Macaca mulatta: one gene and its partners. The protein of the gene in region 1 interacts with the protein of each later gene in a pairwise test. Links are inferred from orthologs where the notes say so. Each region holds a gene or a part of one and is shown in the gene's direction. Other genes may lie near its edges.

Region 1 (5,659 bases):
GTGCAATCTTGGCTCACTGCAACCTCTGCCTCCCGGGTTCAAGCGATTCTCCTACCTCAGCCTCCCAAGTAGCTGGGACTACAGGCGCACACCACCATGCCCAGTTAATTTTTGTATTTTTAGTAGAGACGGGGTTTCGCCATGTTGGTCAGGCTGGTCTCAAACTCCTGAGCTCAAATAATCTGCCTGCCTTGGCCTCCTGAAGTGCCGGGATTACAGGCATGAATCACCACACCAGGCCTGGCTTCTCTCTTGCAAACCACATCAGGAACCGGCCACTGCTTTCCCTCCCAGTGCTATAAGCAGGCAGCTGTCCAGTCCTGTTCAAGGCACTTCCTGGCCTCCGAGGGCTTCCAAGGCTCCATCTCAACCCCTCAGCTTGACATCTCAGGCATTTTCTAGACAGGGCCCAGCCCGATCGGACCCAGGCCCCTTTCTGAGCACCCGGACACTGCGTCCTGAGGGCCACTGGGTGACTTTAAGGCTCCTACTCTTTGGAACCCATTCCTGTGTTGTAAAATCCCCTTCCCTCCATCCTATGACCTAGACGGTGGGGAAGGCATTCCATCTGTTCCTCCTTACCAGAGCCCCTGGGACCCAGAGGAGGGAGGGGAAGGGCAAGAGGTGACCACTGTGTACCACGCCCTGGCAGGCGCCATGATTTCCGTATCTGGGTCTCCCTCCCTCCTCCTGCTGTACAGACTTGTGGTCCAGGTGGGTCTGAGCCACAGAAAGCACACAGCTGTTCATAACAACCACGAGAACCACAGAAGATGGCTAGTGGCCCCAGGAGGCGGCTGAGACCCTGAGACGGTGGCCTCCAGGCCAGGCTCACCTTGGGGTCTTTCTTCAGGTGCAGGCGGTGGCCCCAGTGCGGGGTCAGGGACTGCTGGACCACGCCCCGGTGCCGCAGGTGAAAGTACTGCCCATCAGGGAAGATCTGGGGATGTGGGGAAGCGGCCGCACCGATAGGACCAGGCTCCCCTGCTGGAGCCCCCGAGGGCCGGTAACAGCCCCCTTTCTTGTCCTTCCCCACCAGGTGCTCTCTGGGAGTCCCAGAAGCTGAACTTGGCTGAGGCAGGGGTGGGCTGAGGCTCTTGATATTTAGGAGACCTTGTGGGCTCCCTCCCACTTGTCGGGGTCTAGGGTCCTCTAGTCCCTTCCACGCCCCCACTTCCCGTCCATCCCGGTCCCACCCACCGGCCCCAGGTTGACGAAGCCGAATTTGCGTGCCAGGCGCTCGACCTCCCGGTTACCCTGAGACACCCGGACGGCCCAGCTGCTGACATAGATGGGGGCTCGGACCGAGGCCCACCCCACAGCCCGGGGGCGGACGAGGGCCAGGGCCAAGACCCGGAGCAGCCACAGCGCAATCGGGGCGGGCCGCATGGAGGCGGGGCGGGGCCGGGGGCGGGGCCTGCGCAAAGCCCCTCCCTCCCGCCAAACCGCCGAGTGGACCCAGGCGTCCTCTCAGCCCCCGGCTCCATAGCAACGCGGAAGGCTTCGACTCCCAGGGGGCCTTGCGGCTACTCAGCCAAGACGGGCGCGAAGATCTGACAGAAGCGGGGGAGGGACGCACGCCTGCCCGTCTCCCGCAGACCCACACCCTCGGGAGCCTCAGTTTTCCCATTTGTACAACGACAGGACTAACCCAGAGAAGCGGGTTCACTGTTGCAGTAACGCGTCCTACCCTTTCTTTGGCCTCGCCCACTTTCCAACACACCCCTCCTTCGAGAATCAGCCCGGCCTCCTATCCGGGCTAATCAGAATCATTCTTTCGAGTAATCCCGCCTCCCCCGATAAGCCCCGCCCCATTCCCGCCCCTACCATTCCGCCCTGCCTCCTTTGTGATCAGCCCCGCCCTCCACTGCTCTCGCCAATGAATCGCGTCCCGTTTCTCCAATCGGCTCGGATTTTTCTTTAGCCCCACCCACCGGCTCCGCCCCCACCCGCGCCTCTCCTCGCCCTGGCTCCACCCCCTCAGTGTCGCAGCCAATAATCCCGTCCCCTGACGCCGCCCTTCCAATCAGCTACGTCTCGCTCTGGCCCGGCCAATCGGTGCCCTGGGCCGGCGCGCCCCGCCCTCTCCCGGCGGGGTCTGGGCAGCGGCGGCAGCGGGCGGAGGGCTATGCGGCGGGGGAGACGGGGCAGGCCCCACCTCCTTTGTCCGCCCTGCCCTCCCATTGGTCCGGGCGGGGGGCCGGGGGCGGACACCGGCGCCGGGCCGGAGCAGCGCGGCTCAGGCTGCGGGAAAGCGGCGCGCGTGCAGCGGAGTGGGTGCGCGGGTCCGCGGGCGAGCTCGAGCAGCCAACCCCGGGCGCGTCGGGGCCATGGACGGCCTGAGCCAGCGCGTGGAGCGCTTCCTGGAGCAAAGGAACCTGGTCACCGACGTGCTGGGGGCGCTGGAGGCCAAGACCGGGCTGGAGAAGCGGTATCTGGCTGCAGGTGAGCCGTCGGCGCTAGCCCGTTTCGCCAACGGGCACACTGAGGCCATGGGCCCGGGGGTCGCAGGTCTGACTCCCTCCCCGGCTACGGGGTCCGGTCCTGCTCGTGGAGCGCGCGGGGTGACCGGGACTTCGAGGTCCGCCCGCAACTCCTCCCTTGCCCGCGCCCTGCGACCCTGCTCCCGAGCCACCCCTCTCTAGCTTCCATCCCTGGCCGTCCCCCGCCGCCTCCTTCTGGGCGCTGGGTGCCTGCCATGCCGAAGTCCGGTTCTTCCAGTTGCCCAGTGGCCCCGGAGAGGCCAGGATGCCAGTGTCCTGCACGTTTCGCCGTCCCCCTCCCCCCGTGGACCCCGACCTGGCTGCAACAGTGGAGATCTTCCCGTTTTTCCGAGGGGAGGCTCCAGGCGGGGAGGGGAACGGACCGTCCCGGGGGGCTGCTCAGGACTCTCCTCTCCTCCTCCTCTCCTGCCCTAGCTCACCTTGCCCCGCTCAATGGCTTAGTGCCACCGCGCGTAAATATTTGTTAAGACGGAGTTGGGTTGTCTGACAGCTGTGATGTGGGGAGGTTGGACTGGGGCCCACAGAGCGGGAGATCCAGGCACCCCGATTGTGACTCCATTACAGTTCTTCCGGGCCTTTCACCCTTGGTGACGCCGCGCCCCTTCGCCTTTCCAAAACTACAGCAAGAGCATGTAGTAAGCGCTCCTTAAATGCCTCTCTCCCCACCTTTAAAACTTTTTTTTTGAGATCGAGTCTTGCCCTGCCGCACAGGCTGGAGTGCAGTGGTGCAATCTCAGCTCACTGCAACCTCTGCCTCCTGGGTTCAAGCGATTCTCCTGCCTCAGCCTCCTGCGCAGCGGGGATTACAGACGCAGGTCACCATGCCCGGCTAATTTTTGTATTTTTAGTAGAGACGGGGTTTCACAATGTTGGCCAGGCTGGTCTCGAACTCCTGGCCTCAGGTGATCCGCCCACCTCAGCCTCCCAAAGTGCTGGGATTACAGGTGTGAGCCACCTTGCCTGGCCTAAAACTTTTTAAAGTTAACTTTTTTAAGAGACAGGGTCTCACTATGTTACCCAGACTGGTCTCAAACTCCTGGGCTCAAGCGATCCTTCTGCCTCAGCCTCCCAAAGCTCTGGGATTTACATGGGAGCCACTGCTCCCAGCCCCACTGGCTCTGCCTTCTCTTCCAGGAAGCTCCGCAGAATGACTTGAAAGGACTTGATCTGGGCCTGGGGTGTTCTGGGTAGAGGACAGTGCCACTTTTTTGAGCACCTTCTGCAGGTGGATCCCCGGAGTCCAGTCCCCCCCTCCATTTTCCCACCATCTGGGGGTTCCCATGCCAGGCAGCCTGAGAACAGTCTGAAATCTGTGTCCAGACCCTGGAGGTCCCCAGGTGCCTGGTCCCATGTGCAGTGCAGCAGGTGGCATGGGCATGGCCTGGCTGTGCCTGCCCCCGGGAGCAGGTCCCTGGCCTCTGCCCTCCCTTTCCACATCCCTGGGGCCAGTGGGCAGGAATTTAGGTCACAGAGCGCCCAGGAGGCAGGCAGCAGGGAGGGGCTGGCTGGGGCACTGTGTCACCAGAGAGGAAACTGAGGCACAGGGCGGCAGGGGCTGCCTCTGCGCCTGTTGTGTCTGAGGCGTACACCCCTCCACCCCGCCCACTCCCAGTCCCATCTGCTGCTAATCGTGGGGGCTGGGCCCCCCTCCACAGTTCTGATGTCCAAGGTCATCCTCCCGTTGCTGAAGCTGCAGGAACAGGGATTTAAGGGAGGGACACCCTGGGACAGTCACTCCTCCCCACAAGCCAGGCCTGGGGAGAGGTAGCATTCCCTCATCCCCCTTCTCCCACCTCATTTAAATCGACAAATCCCACACCCCTGGGTAACATACGAAGAAACTCAGAGGAGACAGTGACCGGGAGGCCACACAGCCTCCCAGCTGGGGGACTCCGCCTACCCGTGACCTCGGGTGCTTGTGGATAAAGACTAAAGCAGGTAGGAGGGGCTGGGAGGGACTTGGGCCTCTGCCCTTTGGTCCGGAAGCGGCCTCTATCTCACTCTGCAGATAGCAGCTCCAGGGGAGGAGGAAGGAGGCTGTCCAAGCTCTCTGAAGCACGGGGGTTCCCTGTGTGACCTTGGGCAACACCCACCCACCCCCAGTTCTGAATAAGATAATTCAGGGAAAGCACAAAACCTGGCACACAATAGGCGCTTAATAAATGCAGCTGTCGTCATCATTCTTTTCAGAGCCAGGTTCAGGATTGGGGCTGAGCTGGACACACACACCTTTTTCTCTGAACACCCTCCTTGCTGGGACTGTGTTATTGTTGCCTGAAGGCACTTAATAAATGTGGAGAAGGGCAGGTCGCGGCGGCTCACGCCTGGAATCCCAGCACTTTGGGAGACCGAGGCGGGCGGATCACCTGAGGTCAGGAATTTGAGACCAGCCTGGCCAACATGGTGAAACCCCGTCTCTACTAAAAATACAAAATTCAGCTGGGTGTGGTGGCACGCTCAGCTACTCAGGAGGTTGAGGCAGGAGAATCGCTTGAGTCCGGGAGGCGGAGCTTGTAGTGACCTGAGATTGTGCCGCTACACTCCAGCCTGGACGACAGAGCAAGGCTGCGTCTCAAAAATAAATAAATGAATAAAAATAAACGCGCAGAAAGGAGTTCTCTCTGTTAACTTGTTATTACTTTTTTTTTGCAACAGAGTTTCGCTCTTGTTGCCCAGGCTGGAGTGCAATGGCATGTTCTCGGCTCATCACAACCTCTGCCTCCTGGGTTCAAGCAATTCTCCTGCCTCAACCTCCTGAGTACCTGGGATTACAGGCATGCGCCACCACTCCCGGCTAATTTTGTATTTTTAGTAGGGATGGGGTTTCTCCATGTTGGTCAGGTTGGTCTCGAAATCCTGACCTCAGGCGATCCACCCACCTCAACCTCCCAGAGTGCTGGGATTATAGGCATGAACCACTGTGCCCAGCCCTCTCTGTTAACTTGAAACCATAAGAGGCAGGGGCCATTACCATTCCCACTTACCAAGGGGGAAACTGAGGCTCCGTGCAGCCACAGCCTTGCTCAGTGCCGGCTGGTGAGTGCACAGCCAACCAAAGGGCTCTCCTCCACCCGGGGGACCGAGATGCTGGGGTTTGCTGCCTCCAAGACGGGGGGGGTAGTACTGCCCCCCACCCTGCCCCAGGGACACTGGGT
Region 2 (5,587 bases), on another chromosome or scaffold:
TTTTTAAAGATAATTTGGAAGTGGGGAGTGCTGATTGGTCAGGCTTGGGATGGAATCATAGGGAGTTGAAATGAGTTTTTCTTGCTGTCTTCTGTTCCTGGTTGAGATGGCAGACCTCTTTGGGCCAGATTACTGGTCTGTGTGGTATCAGCTGATCCATCCGGTGCAGGGTCTGCAAAATATCTCAAGCACTGATCTCAGGTTTTACAATAGTGATGTTATCCCCAGGAGCAATCTGGGGAGGTTTAGACTCTTGGAGCCCAAGGCTGCATGACCCCTAAATTGTAATTTCTAATCTTTGTAGCTTAATTTGTTCATCTTGCAAAGGCAGACTGGACCCCAGGGAAGAAGGAGGTCTTTTCGGGAAGGGCTGTTATCAATTTTGTTTCAGAGTCAAACCATGAACTGAGTTCCTTCCCCAAGTTAGTTCGGCCTATGCCCAGGAATGAACAAGGACAGCTTAAGGGTTAGAAGCAAGATAGAGTCAGGTCTGATTTCTTTCACTGTCATAAAATCCTCAGTTATAATTTTGCAAAGGCGGTTCACCAGGAGTTTGAGACCAGCCTGGGCAACATAGCAAGACCCCCATCTCTACAAAAAATTAAAAAAAAAAACTAGCCAGGTGCAGTGGTGTGCACCTGTAGTCCTACCTACTCAGGAGGCTGAGGCAGGAGGATTGCTTGAGCCCAGGACTTTGAGGCTGCAGTGAGCTGTGATCACGCCACTGCACTCCAGCCTGGGCAACAAAGTGAGACTCTGTTCAAAACAAAACAAAAAAAGAAACCTTGGGAGGCCGAGGCCGGCAGATCACAAGGCAGGAGAATGGCGTGAACCCGGGAGGCGGAGCTTGCAGTGAGCTGAGATCCGGCCACTGCACTCCAGCCTGGGCGGTAGAGCGAGACTCCGTCTCAAAAAAAAAAAAAAAAAAAAAAAAAAAAAAAAAAAAAAAAAAAAAGCCGGGCGCGCGGTGGCTCACGCCTGCCTGTAATGCTGGCACTTTGGGAGACCGAGGCGGGCGGATCACGAGGTCAGGAGTTCGAGACCAGCCTGACCAACATGGTGAAACCCTGTCTCTACTAAAAATACAAAAATTAGACGGGCGTGGTGGTGCGCACCTGTAATCCCAGCTGCCCAGGAGGCTGAGGCAGGAGAATCGCTTGAACCCGGGAGGCGGAGGTTGTAGTGAGCCGGGTTGGCGTCACTGCACTCTAGCCTGGGCGACACAGTGAGACTCAGTCTCAAAAAAAAAAAAAAAAAAAAAGAAAAAAAAATCGTGGGAGCATCACAACTCACAGCACCCTCCTGTTGTGTGAAGGCCCCTCCTTTGGGTCTCTCACAGGACTGGCTCCAGGGCTTCAGCCTTGGAACTAGTTGTGGAGTTCTCTGAGTCCCTTTGGAATATTTATCTTTGGCTTGGAATAATGCAACAACATACTAGACCCAGCCTTGCCTTCTCTATGCCCCATTCCTCCCCAAATGATTCCAAGAGTGTACACCTAATCCTGAATCCTTTGCTGCACTTGCCCTAGTGAAAATCAAAGGTCTGCAAAGGCCGCGTCATTCCTGAATGAGGTTCGGAGTCTGATGTTTCTGTGGGGGATTAACATTAACTACACTGGAGAAGAATTACAGGATACAGCCAGTAAGGAGGGAGAGAGAGGGAGGCAGGTGCGATTCCTTCCACCTAAGCTTCCTGGCCTGGCAGGCAACCTTTCCAGGGTCTTTCAGGCTGCAAGCGACAAATAGATGAGGATTGTGGGTTTCTCACGCGTAGGTGGCAGCGGCAAGTTAACCCCAGGAGAGGTGCCAGTCAGCAGATAATTTGCAAACGAATGTATTCTCCTCCTCCTCCGAAGATCTGAGCCTCACGAAATACACTCTTTTCTTCCTTTTCCTCCCTCCCGCAGTCGAGTCGCCTTCCGTCCTGCTAGGGTCCCCTCCCCGCCCGGGTCCCCTCCCCCGCCCGGGCTCCTCTCTGTCTCCCCCTCCCGGACGGCGTCCTCGCTCCGCTGGGCCCTCCTCGCCACCAGCTTGTGAATGAGACGCTCAGTTTCTCAATGGAGCCGCGGGGGGCTCGGGCGGCCGCGGGGCGGCCGCAGCGTTGGCCGTGAGCCAGGAGGGGGGCGCGTTTCCCTCGCTCCCTCTTCGCTCCCTCCCTCTCGCTGCGGCCGCCCGCAAGGAGCCTGGCTGAGGCAGCCGCGCAGGTCGCAGGGCCAGCGTCCGCGAGGACGGCCCGGCTGGGCGGCCCCGAGTGCTGTGGCGCTGTGGAGAAGCGGGAGTGCGGCCGAGGAAGCGGGGCGCCGAGGGGGCCGGCGGCCTTCGTGAAATTTCCGCCGACCCTTCGCTCCCGGCTCTAAAAGTTCCTGATTTCCGATTTCCTTTTAAATCCCGAGCGGCTGTTAGCTCTTCGCCTGCACTTTTTCTTCCCCAGGAGATAAGGGGGAGTGTGAGGAAAGGAGCGAATAATATAAAAAAGGATTTCCTCCCGGAAGAGAGGGGCAGTTCGGAGAGATTTTTCTTAAAGAAGCAGAAGCGGCGTTTGCGGCTGCTGCGGGCGCCGGGCCCTGGCCGGCCCCACCATGCTCGAGCCTGCCCGGGGCTGCTGAGGCGCGGGGACGCGGAAGCGGAGGCCGAGCGTGCCGGGCTCCCGCGCTCGCGAGCGAGTTCTGTCCGCCCGGCGGCGGTGGCTGGGGGATGGAGCCCGCGACCGCGCCCCGGCCCGACATGGCGCCGGAGCTGACCCCGGAGGAGGAGCAGGTAAGCGGGCCCGAGGCCGCCACGGTGGGTGTGTCCGGGCCCCCGAGGCCTACGCCGGCCTCTGCCTCCCAAGCCCCGGCTCTTTGCAGCCACGGGCCCGCAGCGCCCCCGTGCCCGGCCCGCGGGCCTCCCTCACCGGCGACCGCGCCCCAGGCCGCCACCCCCTCGTCAGTGCACCCACGGGACCCTGCTCCAGTTCCTGCAGCTTCTTTCCCCGAGGCTTACGGGCCTCAGACGGTGCCCTCCCCACCCCACCCCCCATTCCAGGGGCAAAGTTCTTTGGATCCAGGGGCCTCCTTCCTGAGGTTTGCAGAACCGCTGCTTGCCCCCGGCCTTTCCACTCCCTTGTAAATGTTTTCCGTGAGGGTTTGTGGCTTTTGAAGGGTAGGAAAAGCCCCAGTTTGGGGGGTGCTTCCTGTGGGGATTATCTCCCTTCCCGAGGAGAGGGCTGAGAGTATTGGATGCATAGATGCCCTAGATTTTCAGAGGAGCCTCTTAGGTTTCTCAGGCCCACTGGGGCAGGTTCTGGAAGATCCAGCCCTTCTCGTGCTTCTAAAGTTCCTGGCCTTGACTCTCCTATTCAGCTATCCCAGACGGGGAGCATCTCCTCACCCCTGCTTCCCTACCCCCGTCTCATCTGACTGTCATCATCTTTCTGAAGCTTACATTGAGCTCTATTGTTCCTTAAAAGCCTATGACCTTTAGTTCTCAGAAGGAAGTGTTTTGCTGTCTCATTTTGGGGGCCCTTGTAACTTTCCCTCCCGCACATTCCAGCTGCAGAGACAGGGACCACTCCTGAGGAAGATGGGAAGGTCTGCTAGCTTAGATTGGGAACCCTACGGGCTTTTCGCTGTCTCTTCCTTGGCAGTGCCTATACCCCGCCATAGCTATGCTCCATTATAGTCATAGTCTGATTCCATGTTATAAATAAAAAAATAAAAATAAACATGAAAAACGAAAAAGGCAAACCATGCTGGCAACCCATTTCAAGCTCTACAGCCGTTGTTTCCAAGGACCACATTTGCTAGCACAGCCTCTAGTGTGAAGACAGTCTAGTTTTACAAACTATTATTGGCTAATGGGCTTGTTGACCTGATTTTTTAAAGTCCTTGTCTTTTCTCCTCATTTGTAGAGATGACATTTTTCTATTTGGCCTCAGGCCACGGTTTTGCCTTTTGACACCTGGTGATGAAATCAGTATGGGAAAAAAATTTAAAGAGAATTCTGCTTTGTACAAGCAGTGGTAATGAATGTCCTGGTAATTGCAGTTGGATGTTAATAAAATGCTAGTCAGGCCCTAGTGCAAGCAGGTGGCCATGGAGCCCATCCTGCCAGAATTGGAAAGTACTTCAGTACTAACATAGGACGTGTTGGCTGATTTTAAAGGGACAAATCTCTTTCTTTCATCCTTTTTCTTGGGTCAGGCAGATTTCTGTTTTTAAGACTTAAAGGCATCAGTATTCTATGCAAATAGCATCCGTTGCAAATTTGAAAACTAAAACCAGGAAAAGTAAATATTAAAGTATTGATAGTATTGACATATATTGGCTTTACTTTGTATATAGTGCATACACATATACAAATGTGTTTAACTAGTAAAAACCTTATTTTTTACCCTGAATTGAATGTGATGGGCATTAACAAGGACTAGGATGGAAATGGCAAAATATTTATTAAAGGCAAGAGATTATGTGTCTGTGTGTTTTTAAAATCTTATCTCTTTTTTTCCTACAAAATGTTATTTTTTACAAGCATTTCAAAATATTAAAACAAAAAAGCAGTATAGTTCTAATTATGGTAATGCCTGATGTTATCATATTCTAGTTTAATGTCACATAAGAGTACTCTCTTTTTTCTAGAGTTGGAGTTTCGTTTTTTTTTTTTTTTTTTTTGAGACGGAGTCTCGCCCTGTCATCCAGGCTGGAGTGCAGTGGCCTGATCTTGGCTCACTGCAACCTCCGCCTCCAGGGTTCAAATGATTCTCCTGCCTCAGCCTCCTGAGCAGCTGGGATTATAGGCGCCTGCCACCATGCCCAGCTAATTTTTGTATTTTTAGTAGACATGGGGTTTCACCATGTTGGCCAGGCTGGTCTCAAACTCCTGACCTCGTGATCTGCCCACCTTGTCCTCCAAAAGTGCTGGGATTATAGTTGTGAGCCACCGCGCCCAGCCGGAGTTTGGGTTTTGTTGCCCAGACTGGAGTGCAATGGCGTGATCTCGGCTCACTGCAACCTCCACCTCCCGGGTTCAAACGATTCTCCTGCCTCAGCCTCGGGAGTATCTGGGATTACAGGTGCCCACCACGCCCAGCTAATGTTTGTATTTTTACTAGTGACGGGGTTTCACCATGTTGGAGGATGGTCTTGATCTCCTGACCTCGTGATCTGCCCGCCTCTGCCTCCCAAAGTGTTGGGATTACAGGCCTGAGCCATTGTGCCCGGCCAAGGATACTTTTTTTTTTTTTTTTTTTTTGGACAGAGTCTTGCTCTGTTGCCCAGGTTGGAGTGCAGTGGCACGATCTTGACTCACTGCAACCTCCACCTCCCGGGTTCATGCCATTCTCCTGCCTCAGCCTCCCGAGTAGCTGGGACTGCAGGCGCTCGCCACCATGCCCGGCTAATCTTTTGTATTTTTTAGTAGAGACGGGGTTTCACGGTGTTAACCAGGATGGTCTCCATCTCCTGACCTTGTGATCCGCCCGCCTCGGCCTCCCAAAGTGCTGGGATTACAGGTGTGAGCCACTGCGTCTGGCCAAGAGTACTCTTAACTATTAAGATTTATTTAAAATATTTAAATTAATTGGCAGTAAATAAGTGTTAGCCTTATCAAA
Region 3 (5,147 bases), on another chromosome or scaffold:
CTTGTGGCTGGGCATGATGGCTCACACCTGTAATCCCAGCACTTTGGGAGGCTGAGGCAAATGAATCACGAGATCAGGAGTTCGAGACCAGCCTGGCCAACTTTGTGAAACCCTGTCTCTACTAAAAATACAAAAAATTAGTTGGGTGTAGTGGCGGGCGCTTGTAAACTCAGCTACTCAGGAGGCTGAGGCAGGAGAATCGCTTGAACCTGGGAGGCCAAGATTGCGTCGTTGCAGTCTAGCCCGGGCGACAGAGTGAGACTCCGTCTCAAAAAAAAAAAAAAAAAAAGTTGTTTCTTTTTTCCTTTTATTTAATGTAGCTGCTAGAAAATGTAAAATTGCATATGTAGCTCATATCTGTATTAGACAGTGCTGAACAGTTGCTCGCGTCTGCGTACTCACGTGAGATGTTCTTTGTTGTTGTTGGTTTTTGTTTTTGTTTTTTGAGACAGAGTCTTACTCTGTCACCCAGGCTGGAGTCCTGTGGCATGATATCAGCTCACTGCAAACTCTGCCCTCCCAGGTTTGAGTGATTCTCCTGCCTCAGCCTCCCAAGTAGCCAAGTAGCCTCCCAAGTAGTGTGCGCCACCACACCTAATTTTTTTACTTTTAGTAGAGACGGGGTTTCACCATGTTGGCCAGGCTGGTCTTGAACTCCTAACCTCAAGTGATCCACCTGCCTTGGCCTCCCAAAATGCTGGGATTATAGGTGTGAGCCACCACGCCTGGCCAAGATGTTCTTTTGTTCTTTTGAGGCAAGGTGAAAGATTGCTGTTGTCAGGTTATGCCAGGCCAGTGGGGAAGTACCACAGAATGGCCACACAGTAACTGGACCAGAGTTAGCCTGCACTGCATAATACCTAGGACAGAGCAGTGAAACTGTGACTCGCACCTGTGATCTCAGCACTTTGGGAAGCCAAGGCAAGGTAATCACTTGAGCTCAGGAGTTCAAGACCAGCCTGGGCAACATGGTAAAACCCCATCTCTACAAAAAATACAAAAATTAGCCAGGCATGGTGGTGTGCACCTATAGTCCCAGCTACTTGGGAGGCTGAGGCAGGAGGGCGGCTTGATCCCAGGTGGCAGAGGTTGCAGTGAGCTGAGATTGTGCCACTGCACACCAGCCTAGATAACAGAGCCAGGCCTTGTCTCAAAAAACAAATGGGGGCTACTTGCTGTGTGACCTTGGGCAAGTCACTTTCCCTCTCTGAGCCTTACTTTTCTCCTCATTAGATCAAAGCCATCAGAAATGTTTTTGTTTCTTGTTAACTACCTAGCTCCCCCTGTGTAGGATGTGATACTCACAAGGGCAGAGACTTGTTCCTCCCCTGTTCACCTTCTGAGTCTAGCATATAGTAGGTGCTCAGTAAACATCTGGCAAATGAATGAATAGGGAAATTGATCTGTCCTGGAAGCCCCTCCCTCACCCCAGGAGGAGCCAGAGAAGATTCCTGGGAGAAGGGGTAGGAGGGCAGTGAGTTGCTCAGAGCATCTCAGGCAGGACCAGGAAAAGTGGCCTTAGGGCAGAAGCCCCTATAGGTCACCGCCACTCTCCCCTGTTCCTTGTCCTGGGGGCTGTAGGCCGATTTGAAGCCTCAGTGATCGAGGAGCGGCGAAAGGGGGCAGAGGACCTGCTTCGCTTCACCGTGCACATACCTGCGCTCAACAACAGCCCCCAGCTCAAGGAGTTCTTCAGGGTATGTGCACCTTCCACCTTACCAGAACTTGGGCCACTTACCCACCCACCAGATTGCACCCCATGACTCCCCATGGCTGATCTTTCTGTCCTGCAGGGTGGGGAGGTGACCCGACCCTCGGAGATGTCCAGGGACCTGCACATCCTGCCACCCCCTCTGATCCCCACCCCGCCCCCTGATGACCCCCGGCTACCCCAGCCGCTCCCTGCAGAAAGGAGGGGCCTTGAGGAATTGGAGGTGCCAGGTACATCAGGGTGGGAGGAGGGAACCAAGGCTGGAGGGTACAGAGTGGGGAGGGGGCCACACTCACTCCTCAGTGGTCTTAGTGAGAAATGGGCGTGTGTCCAGGTCTATCACTGACTGGCTGAGGAACTTTGGGCAGGTCCTTTTCCTTCTCTGCACTACAGTTTCTTAATCTGTAAAATGGGCATAAACCCTAATAACGGGCTTGTCTATGCCCATGGTTGCTGCAAGGGTTTAGAGAGAGAGTAATTCCATTTTGAAAGCTGAGAAATAAATGCGGGTATTCATGACCCCAATTATCTCTTCCTCAGTGGACCCCCCACCATCCAGCCCTGCCCAGGAGGCCCTGGATCTTCTCTTTAACTGTGAGAGCACCGAGGAAGCGTCTGGTTCCCCTGCCCGAGTCCCCCTCACCGAGGCTGAGCTGGCCCTCTTCGACCCCTTCTCCAAAGAAGGTAATGAGCTGGGTCAGCCGGGAAGGAGCCAGGGCAGGACATCCTTAGGACAGGGAGGAGGGCAGAGCCCCACTAGCCTGCTCAGTGCCTGCGCAGATCTGGGAAAGACGTCCCCTCAGTAGTGCTGCCCTGTGGACCAAGAGCAGCTTCAGTGAGAATGAGCAGCTCCGTGCCAGGGCTCGTGGTGTGGTGTGCTGGATGCACCTGTGCAACAAGTAGCCATGAGGAAGGAAAGGAGGCACTTCCCACGTTGGGGCCATCTCACTGAGAAGGCTTTGGAAAGAGCCGGGTCACACTGCTCTGGGACATTTTAGTTCCTTCGCTGTAAGCTCGTGGTGGGATTTCCTGGCTGGCCAGGGTCTGGCTGCAGATCCTGAAGGCAAGAAGCCTGCTGGTCAATGGAAGTGAGTTCTGAGCTCAAAGAGCAGCTGCAAAGGGAAACCCCTCTGGGGGCCTGGAGCCACTGGCATTTGGGGATGCCGGAGATTGAAGGGCCCCCTGATGGAGGTTAGGGTCCTGGGCACCTTCTTGCTGTGAGATCCTGGGACTTGACAGTCCCAAGCTCTGAGGCACTGGAGTTTTTCATTCTAAAATTCGCCAAGGCCTGGCACATTGGCTCACACCTGTAATCTCAACACTTTGGGAGGCTGAGGCAGGGAGATCCCAGGAATTCAAGACCAGCCTGGACAATATAGCGAGAGCCCATGTCTGTTATTCTTTTTTTTTTTTTTCTGAGACAGAGTCTCACTCTGTTGTCCATTCTGGAGTGCAGTGGCGCAATCTCTGCTCACTGCAACCTCCCGGGTTCAAGCGATTCTCTGGCCTCAGCTTCCCGAGTAGCTGGGACTACAGGCACACGCCATGGTGCCTGGCTAATTTTGTATTTTTAGTTGAGATGAGATTTCTTCATGTTGGTCAGACTGGTCTCAAAACTCCTGACCCTCAAGTGATCCACCCTCCTCGGCCTCCCAGAGTGCTGAGATTACAGGTATGAGCCAAAGTGCCCTGCCTCTCACTTTTCTCGTTCTGCTTCCTCCTGTTCCTGCTACTGCCTCTCCAGGGTTGGGGAGTGGGAAGAAGGAATGGGAGGGAAAGGCAGTGTTGGTGTCACAGGGCTGTTGTGTCTGGCCTCTGGGTGGCAGGCATCCAAGTGCTCTGTCCTTGTGTCAGCTGAGCGCCTGCCTGGGCAGGAGCTTTTCTATTTTCTCTTTTTTTTTTTTCCTTTCTTTTTTTTCTTTTTCTTTTTCTTTTTTTTTTTTTTTGAGATAGGGTCTGGCTCTGTCACCACGCTAGAGGGCAGTGGTGTGATCGTGGCTCACTGCAGCCTCTACCTCCTAGGCCCAAGCGATCCCCCCACCTCCGCCTCCCGAATAGCTGGGACAGAACCACAGGCATGCACCATCACGCCCAGCTAAGTTTTTGATTTTTTCTAGAGACAAGCTCTCACTATGTTGCCCAGGCTGGTCTCAAGCTCCTGCACTCAAGTAGTCCTCCCACCTCGGCCTCCTGAAGCGCTGGATTATAGGCATGAGCAACTGTCCAACCAGGATCTTTTCAAGACCCTTCACACGCAGCTCCAGTGAGACTCACTCAGCCCATGGGGAGAGTCCCCAGAGCCTGGAGCTGCAAGGCTTCAGAAAACCCCTGAGATTCTCGAAGTCTCCTATTCTAAGATTATTCCAAGGCTTGGAGCATTTCTACCCTCAGCCTGGTGTTGTTGGCCTAGCATTCTTCAGGGAAACTTTCTGGAGGGGATTTTTGGATTTCTAGGTCAACTGGAGTCAAGAGGGAAATAGGACCAGTGACCCAGAGCTCACAAACTAAAGTGAGTGTGTACCTAATGACATAATTAGGAAGGTAAGGCTGTGTTTTTTTGTTATTGTTGTTGTTTTTTTTTTTTTTTTGAGACGGAGTCTCGCTCTGTCGCCCAGGCTGGAGTGCAGTGACGCGATCTCGGCTCACTGCAAGCTCCGCCTCCCGGGTTCACGCCATTCTCCTGCCTCAGCCTCCCCGAGTAGCTGGGATCACAGGTGCCCGCCACCATGCCCGGCTAATTTTTGTATTTTTAGTAGAGACAGGGTTTCACCATGTTAGTCAGGATGGTCTCGATTCCTGACCTCGTGATCCGCCCACCTCGGCCTCCCAAAATACTGGGATTACAGGTGTGAGCCACCACACCCGGCGGTAAGGCTGTTTTTACAGAAGCACATGAACCCTATCTATCAAATACATCATGGCCAGTTTTTGATCCACAGACGACTTCTGGATTGCTCTGGCCTTGGTCCCCTCTACTGGGGACAGGCTGATACCCTGATGAACAAAAGAGGTCTTGGGTTGGGCAGAGGGCCTGAGAAAAGAAGGGCTAGTCTGGTCTGAGTCCTCCCTTTCTAATTGCAGAAGGCGCAGCCCCCAGCCCCACCCATGTGGCTGAGCTGGCAACGATGGAGGTGGAGTCAGCAAGGCTGGACCAGGAACCCTGGGAGCCAGGAGGGCAGGAGGAGGAAGAGGACGGGGAAGGAGGGCCCACCCCTGCCTATCTAAGCCAGGCCACAGATCTCATCACCCAGGCCCTGCGGGATGAGAAGGCAGGCGCTTATGCTGCCGCGCTCCAGGGCTACCGAGATGGTGTACACGTCTTGCTTCAGGGAGTCCCCGGTGAGTAGGGACTGAGGGTGGAGGGTCAGGCCTGGGTCCCAGGTGGGGCAGTGATGAAGGGAGCAAAAAGCAAGCAATTCACAGAGCAGGAGCCCTT
Region 4 (5,932 bases), on another chromosome or scaffold:
AGCAAGGAACCCAAATTGCTGCCTCCTGTGATTTATACACTGCACCCCAAGCTGTAGGGGTAACCCAAGGACAAAGCTGTAACCCAAGCGGGAACATGTGCCCCACCTGGGGCCACCAAAATCTTACCAGCTTTCTCAGCTGGTGGATGGGTTAATTCACGGCCACAGCCCCCTGGAGATGGAGGAAAGAAAAGCCAGGGCCTCTCCGCAAACCAGCCCAGAGAGAGGTCTGCGGAAGGGCCCGGAAGCCTGAAGGCCCCTCTGCACCCTCAACCCCACCGCCATTCAGGACCTCCAAGATGACCTGCATGGAAAAGGCTGGAACCCAGGGAGGAGCAGAGCCCCGCCCAAAGTCACAGGCCGAGCCTGAACAGAACCCGGGTCTCCAGGAGTCCTGTCTTGAGCTGTCTTGCCCAAATAAAATTTTTCAGGCCATCAGATTTCCATACTCCCCAGAGTGGGACTTCATCTGGGACCAAAGGCAGGGTGGTGAGGGGTGTGGCAGGAGGGAGGAGTGCCCCGGGGTCCCGAGCAGGATGAGCCTGAGGAAGACACGGGTCCCCATGTTCCCTTTCCCGCTCAGGTAATGGATGTGAATTGAGGGGAGCAGGGACCTCCCCATCTTCAGGGTGGGACCCTGAGGGCCCGGGACACCTTTGCTAGGGGATGTCCCTCCCCACTCCTGCACAAGTTCCCCAAGGGCACCCTCGGGCTCCGAAAACGGGGGGAGGGGGACGACGCCCCAAGGGCCCCTGAGCCCCTTGTTCTTCCCGACCCCCACGGCTTTTCTCCCTCGGTTCCCAGGCGGGGACGGCGGGTGGCGCGGAGCAGCAGGCGCAGGGGCGGTGGGGTAGGGATGTCTCTGCAGGGCTGAGGTTCCCCTCGGGAGTCTAAACAAAGACTAAGGCAGCGCCGTCCCCTCCCCCGGGAACCCGACGCCGCGCGGCCACAGGGGGCCTGGAGGGGCGGGCAGGGCCTTGCAGCGCACCCAGCACAGTCCGCGCGGCGGAGCGGGTGAGAAGTGGGCAGGGGCGCGGATCGATCAGGGTGTGCCCCCAGGCTCCGCGTCGCGGTCCCCGCCCGCCCACCGGCCCACCGGCCCACCGGCCCACCGGGCGCACTAGCCGCGCAGGAGGCGGAAACCACGCGCGAGGTACCGTGGTCCGTCCGGGGCCAGTCCCAGGTCGGGCGCCGCCCCGCTGGCCGAGCGCCCACACCCGCCAAACCCACGCCGGCACGCCCCCCACGGCGCACCGCCCCCAGCCCGGCCTCCGCCCCGGCAGCCGCGGGCACGCGGAGGGGCTCCCGGCTGCCCGCACCTGCACCCGCGCGTCGGCGGCGCCGAGGCCCCGCTACCCGCCTGCGCGTCTGTCTCGCCCGCATCTCCACGGTGAGTCGGCGGCGCCCTAGCCCCTGCGCCCAGGTCCCGTTCCTCTCGCCGCCGCGGCTGCTGCGCGCGTCCCCGCCCAACCCAGCACAGTCCCGCGCACGACCCCAGCCCCGCGAGCCCCGCACCCACTGGCTCCCGCCACATTTCGCCTCCGCAGGGACGGCGCCCCCTCCTGCCCGCGGCCCCCGCTCTCCCTCTTCGCCTTCCCAGCTGCGCTGGGGACACCCAGCCGCCGTCCGCGCGCCCCCAACCGCGACGCCCGGAGGCGGCGGGTCTCTTTGTTCGGGCGCCGGGCTCGGGGGACCCCTCCCGCGGTGTCACCGCACCCACCCCGCGCCCTCCCTCCGCCTCCTGGAGTTCACCCGGACCAGGTGGCGGCGGGTGCCTTTTGGGGGTGCGCGGCCATGCAATTGGTGGATTTTTTTAAACCGTTTTGGAGGGGGGAGCGCGGCGTTGGGGGCGGGAGAGCGCTCCTTGCTGTGAGCTGCTCCTCCCGCTTTGCTCCGCGCTTTCCTGCCGCTCCGCTCCGGGTCTCCCGCGCTCCTCTCCCCGGCTCGGCGGAGCGCGCTGCCCCGACGCCGCCACCCAGAGCCGGGCAGCGCCAGGCGCCGAGATGAAGGTGCTGGGACACCGGCTGGAGCTGCTCACAGGTACCGCCCGTCTGCCCCGCAGCCGCCCGCCACTTTCCGAGTTGGAGCGGGCTCCGGGCGCGGCCGCCGGGGCCTGGGGCGGCTCGGGTCCGAGCAGGAAGGGGTGCGGATCCCCACTGATTCCTAGTTTTGTGCTACCTGTTTCTGTGCGGAGCCCGGCCCGGGGAGAGGACTTGAGGCTGTGGCGAGTCCCTTGCGCCGGCGTCCGGGCTGCAGGAGCACCGGTCAGGGGGTGGCCCCTTGGGGTCTCTGACCAGCGGAGCTCGGGTCAGGACCCTGAAAGCTAGCTCAGGGCTCTTGCCCTCCAATCAGTGTCGCTTGTCCTCTTAAGAAAGGACCCGTGGGCTCCTGGCAGGACCCGCGCCATGAACCTCTTATTTCTGCCCCCTGTGACAATCTGGGCCGTCTTTCTCTGGGGGGGGAGAAGTTTCTTGCTGGGAGCGGAGGCCAAGTGGCCTGGGAAGTGGGAAGCCAGATTGGACCCTACTAACTGGGGACCCTCAGCCTTGGAGTCCCTCTGGAGACGTGATCAGTTGCCCTGCTGGAAACTCACATCCAGGGGGCAGTGGCTGGAGAGCAAGAGAGAACGGTCAGGAAAAGGAGGTGGGAAAGGGACAGGGGAGGATTCGAGGAGTGACTTCTGTGTTCTCCCCGGTGTGGAGAGACCCAGACAGGAGGAAAGGAAAGCAGCCCGGCTTCCTCCAGGCCTGGGACTTGTAGGTGCTCCATCCATGTATGTCAGATGAGCACAGATTCCAGTAAGTGTCCTCCGACACTTGGGGGAGGGGGCTGATCACTGCCTTCGAGGACATTAATGGCCGATGAGGGAGCAGAGCCCAGGAGCCCTGTTACAAGGCTGTGGGTGCACTCAGGAAACAGGGTGGAATCTGAGTCGGGGGCAGCTTTTGAAGATCTCGAAAAACAATTTCTGTTAATGAAGACGGAGGTGGCATTATGGGTTCAGGATCAAGGGACTGGCCCATGCTCTGGGCTGTGAGAGAGGCTTGATCCGGGAGAGGTATGGAGGCTGAATGGCCTGGAATGTGCGTGTGTGTTGGGGGGGAGGGGGCTAAAAGGTGGGGGTGGGGGTGAGGTTTTATTAAATCAGCAGTAGCAGGCCAGGCGCAGTGGCTCATGCCTGTAATCCCAGCACTTTGGGAGACCGAGGTCAGAGGATCGCTTAAGGCCAGGAGTTCAAGACCAGCCTGGGTAGCATAGGGAGACCCCATCTTTACAAAAAAATAAATAAATAAAGCAGCAATAGCTCGTGACAGACTTGTAGAGAAGGGAAGGTGCAGGCTGTTCCTGGGACACTGGAAACGGGCTGGGTGCTCAGAAGTGCCAGCGCTGTGCCCAGTTAGCCACGGGGCTGGCACCCCCTCCAATCCCTTGCCAACTTTTTCTTTGTGGAGCCCACTTAAGGCAGGCCCAGCTCACCCAGCTTGGAAGGGAACAGCACAGGCCGCTGAACTTGTTAACCCCCTAGGAAGGCTTACAGTTCCATGGGTTGGTTGTTTGTTTGTTTTGTTTTGAGATGGCGTCCCACTCTGTCACCCAGGTTGGAGTGCAGTGGCATAGTCTCGGCTCCCTGCAACCTCCGTCTCCCAGGATCAAGGGATTCTCCTGCCTCAGCTTCCCGAGTAGCTGGGATTACAGGCACGCGACCATGCATGGCTAATTTTTGTGTTCTTGGTAGAGATGAGTTTCACCGTGTTGGCCAGGCTGGTCTCAAACCTCTGATCTCATGTGATTCCTGCTCCCAAAGTGCTGGGATTACAGGCGTGAGCCACCGCGCCCGGCCCCCACCATGGGTTTTTAGAGCCCTGCATGGTGAACGGATCTCCTGGTTCCTCTCTCCTCCCCCTCTTCCTGCCCCCAAAGGGCCTGGATGAGAAATGCTCACAGGAGACATGTGTAGGGGGCTCAAGGAGGGGTCTAGGCTTTGGAGACCCCATGCACTGTTCCCTCATCTCCTGGTAGAGGAGTCAGGACCCTTCTTCCCTCACCAGATGGGCTCACTGGATTCTGGTGGACTTTCTAAGTCCCTGGCCAGGGTGGATGAGGCCCCTCTCAGTCACTATCATCAGTCACTGGCTTCCATTGCACCTGCAATCCGGCCCTGGGAGACAGCCCATCCTCTCTGTTGCTGTTTTGTGGTCTTCACAGCCTTTCCTCTCTGTCCTCTTCCTTTTCTCACAGATCTGGATTCTAAATCCAACCCCATCAGTAGCCAGCTGTGTGATTTCAGACATTTTCCTTAACCTCTCTGACTTCAGCCCTCTCATCTTAAAGATGGAACTGTTGGCCCCTGTCTCTAAGAGATGGTGTGAGGCTTGCTCAGATAGTGTAGGCGACACATGTGGTTGGGACCTAGACCCTGGTGGGCACCTCTTGGGCCCCACCTGTTCTGGCTGGTTGGCCCCTAGAGCATTTGGATCTGTCCCCACCCTCCTTTCTCCCTGCTCTCCTGCATCTATGAGATTTGACCCATCACCCCCATTGGATGACAAGCAGGTCACAGTCTGGGAGGTGGCCACTTTATTGTGGTGGCACACAGCAAATGCTCGAGGGTTGCTGACTGAGGCTAGGCTCACACAGCCCGCTCAGCATCTATGTCTCTAGGATAATTCTGTAGAGGCCCCTAACTCCCTGCCCCAACATCAGCCTTCAGAAATTGTTTTACTGAATTTTAAAAACTCATATTGAAGGCTAGGCGCAGTGGCTCACACCTGTAATCCCAGCACTTTGGGAGGCTGAGGCAGGCAAATCACCTGAGGTCAGGAATTCAAGACCAGCCTGGCCAACATGATGAAACCCCATCTCTACTAAAAATACAAAATCAGCTGGGCGTGGTGGCGCATGCCTATAGTCCCAGCTACTTGGGAGGCTGGGGCAGGAGAATCACTTGAACCCAGGAGAGGGAGGTTGCAGTGAGCCGAGATTGCACCACTGCACTCCAGCCTGGACAACAGAGCAAGACTCCATCTCAAAAAAAAAAAAAAAAAACTCATACCGATTTAGTTCTGTGTACTTTTCACATTCTCCTATTTTATTATCTTGCCTGTCTTGCCAGTGAAGTCAGTGACTTCCTCACGTTCCTATTTCTCAGAAGAGGCAGCGCTGGATTCAGAACCGAGCCCTGAACTGGGAGTTGTCCCATGGCATTCTAACTGCCTGGCTTTAGGACAGTCTAATAGCTGTTCCACACTTCACTTGCCTCATCTGTAAAATGGGATCGTCGTGGTGCCCAGCTGGCTGGGGCCTTTGGAGATTAGGTGTGAGTGTGTGCAAGATGCCAAGTCCAGCTTCTGGCAGGCGGACAGTAGATGAGAGTCGCGGAGCTGGCGTCCTCAGGCTGCCTCCTCAGTGCACTCCATCACGGTGCTGGGGGCCCCTTCTCCTCCCGCTGTGCTCCAGTTTCCAGATTCCCTCCCCCCAGGGTGTTCCAGTTCCTTCACTGGGTTCTCGCACCAGTCCAGGCCTCTCTGAGATGTGTCTCTGGGGGACCCTACTTAGGTCTCAGGTTCCTGTGAGAGGGGCATGGCCTCGGGGTGGGGCCCTTCCAGCCAGACACCTACAGCTCTGACATCGTGGGGAAGGCCAGGTACCCCCTCACATATGGGACTAGAAGGAGACCGTGGGTTGTCGTGCCCAGACCCAGCATGTCTCTTTGTTCTGGGGAGAAGAGGAGGCTGTTGGGGTCCATCTGGAGGCTTCATAAATCACGAATGCTTATCGAGGCCATTTCCAGGCCCCTCAGAGGGGTCTTGCTGCAACAAGGACAAGGAAGGCAGGGGTTTTGGAATCGGAGGATGTGAATTTCAGGGTCTCCTCTCTGCTTCTCAGCTCCCGGGCAATTCTTACCTTCTTTCAGCCTCAGTCTTATCAGTAA

What was found.
Region 2: the proteins of REEP6 (region 1) and PTPN9 interact in binary tests that used the Homo sapiens proteins (3 or more experiments, as listed by UniProt). The two-hybrid records come from large-scale screens. The link is inferred for Macaca mulatta from reciprocal best matches to the Homo sapiens genes REEP6 and PTPN9.
Region 3: the proteins of REEP6 (region 1) and SNX15 interact in binary tests that used the Homo sapiens proteins (3 or more experiments, as listed by UniProt). The two-hybrid records come from large-scale screens. The link is inferred for Macaca mulatta from reciprocal best matches to the Homo sapiens genes REEP6 and SNX15.
Region 4: the proteins of REEP6 (region 1) and NDRG4 interact in binary tests that used the Homo sapiens proteins (3 or more experiments, as listed by UniProt). The two-hybrid records come from large-scale screens. The link is inferred for Macaca mulatta from reciprocal best matches to the Homo sapiens genes REEP6 and NDRG4.

What each region holds. Positions count from the first base shown.
Region 1 is NC_133424.1:2,176,316-2,181,974, forward strand, and holds the start of REEP6 (receptor expression-enhancing protein 6), read left to right. Parts: upstream 1-2,089; 5' UTR 2,090-2,330; coding exon 2,331-2,445; intron 2,446-2,799; exon of another isoform or gene 2,800-2,910; intron 2,911-5,659. Other genes in the region: PCSK4 (proprotein convertase subtilisin/kexin type 4), read right to left, coding at 836-940, 1,201-1,389. UniProt on the Homo sapiens protein: Required for correct function and survival of retinal photoreceptors. Required for retinal development.
Region 2 is NC_133412.1:53,618,001-53,623,587, reverse strand, and holds the start of PTPN9 (tyrosine-protein phosphatase non-receptor type 9), read left to right. Parts: upstream 1-1,997; 5' UTR 1,998-2,694; coding exon 2,695-2,757; intron 2,758-5,587. UniProt on the Homo sapiens protein: Protein-tyrosine phosphatase that could participate in the transfer of hydrophobic ligands or in functions of the Golgi apparatus.
Region 3 is NC_133419.1:9,347,005-9,352,151, reverse strand, and holds part of SNX15 (sorting nexin-15), read left to right. Parts: intron 1-1,581; coding exon 1,582-1,697; intron 1,698-1,793; coding exon 1,794-1,941; intron 1,942-2,251; coding exon 2,252-2,395; intron 2,396-4,792; coding exon 4,793-5,050; intron 5,051-5,147. UniProt on the Homo sapiens protein: May be involved in several stages of intracellular trafficking. Overexpression of SNX15 disrupts the normal trafficking of proteins from the plasma membrane to recycling endosomes or the TGN.
Region 4 is NC_133425.1:54,073,475-54,079,406, forward strand, and holds the start of NDRG4 (protein NDRG4), read left to right. Parts: upstream 1-2,387; 5' UTR 2,388-2,405; coding exon 2,406-2,643; exon of another isoform or gene 2,644-2,782; coding exon of another isoform or gene 2,783-2,798; intron 2,799-4,984; exon of another isoform or gene 4,985-5,915; intron 5,916-5,932. UniProt on the Homo sapiens protein: Contributes to the maintenance of intracerebral BDNF levels within the normal range, which is necessary for the preservation of spatial learning and the resistance to neuronal cell death caused by ischemic stress.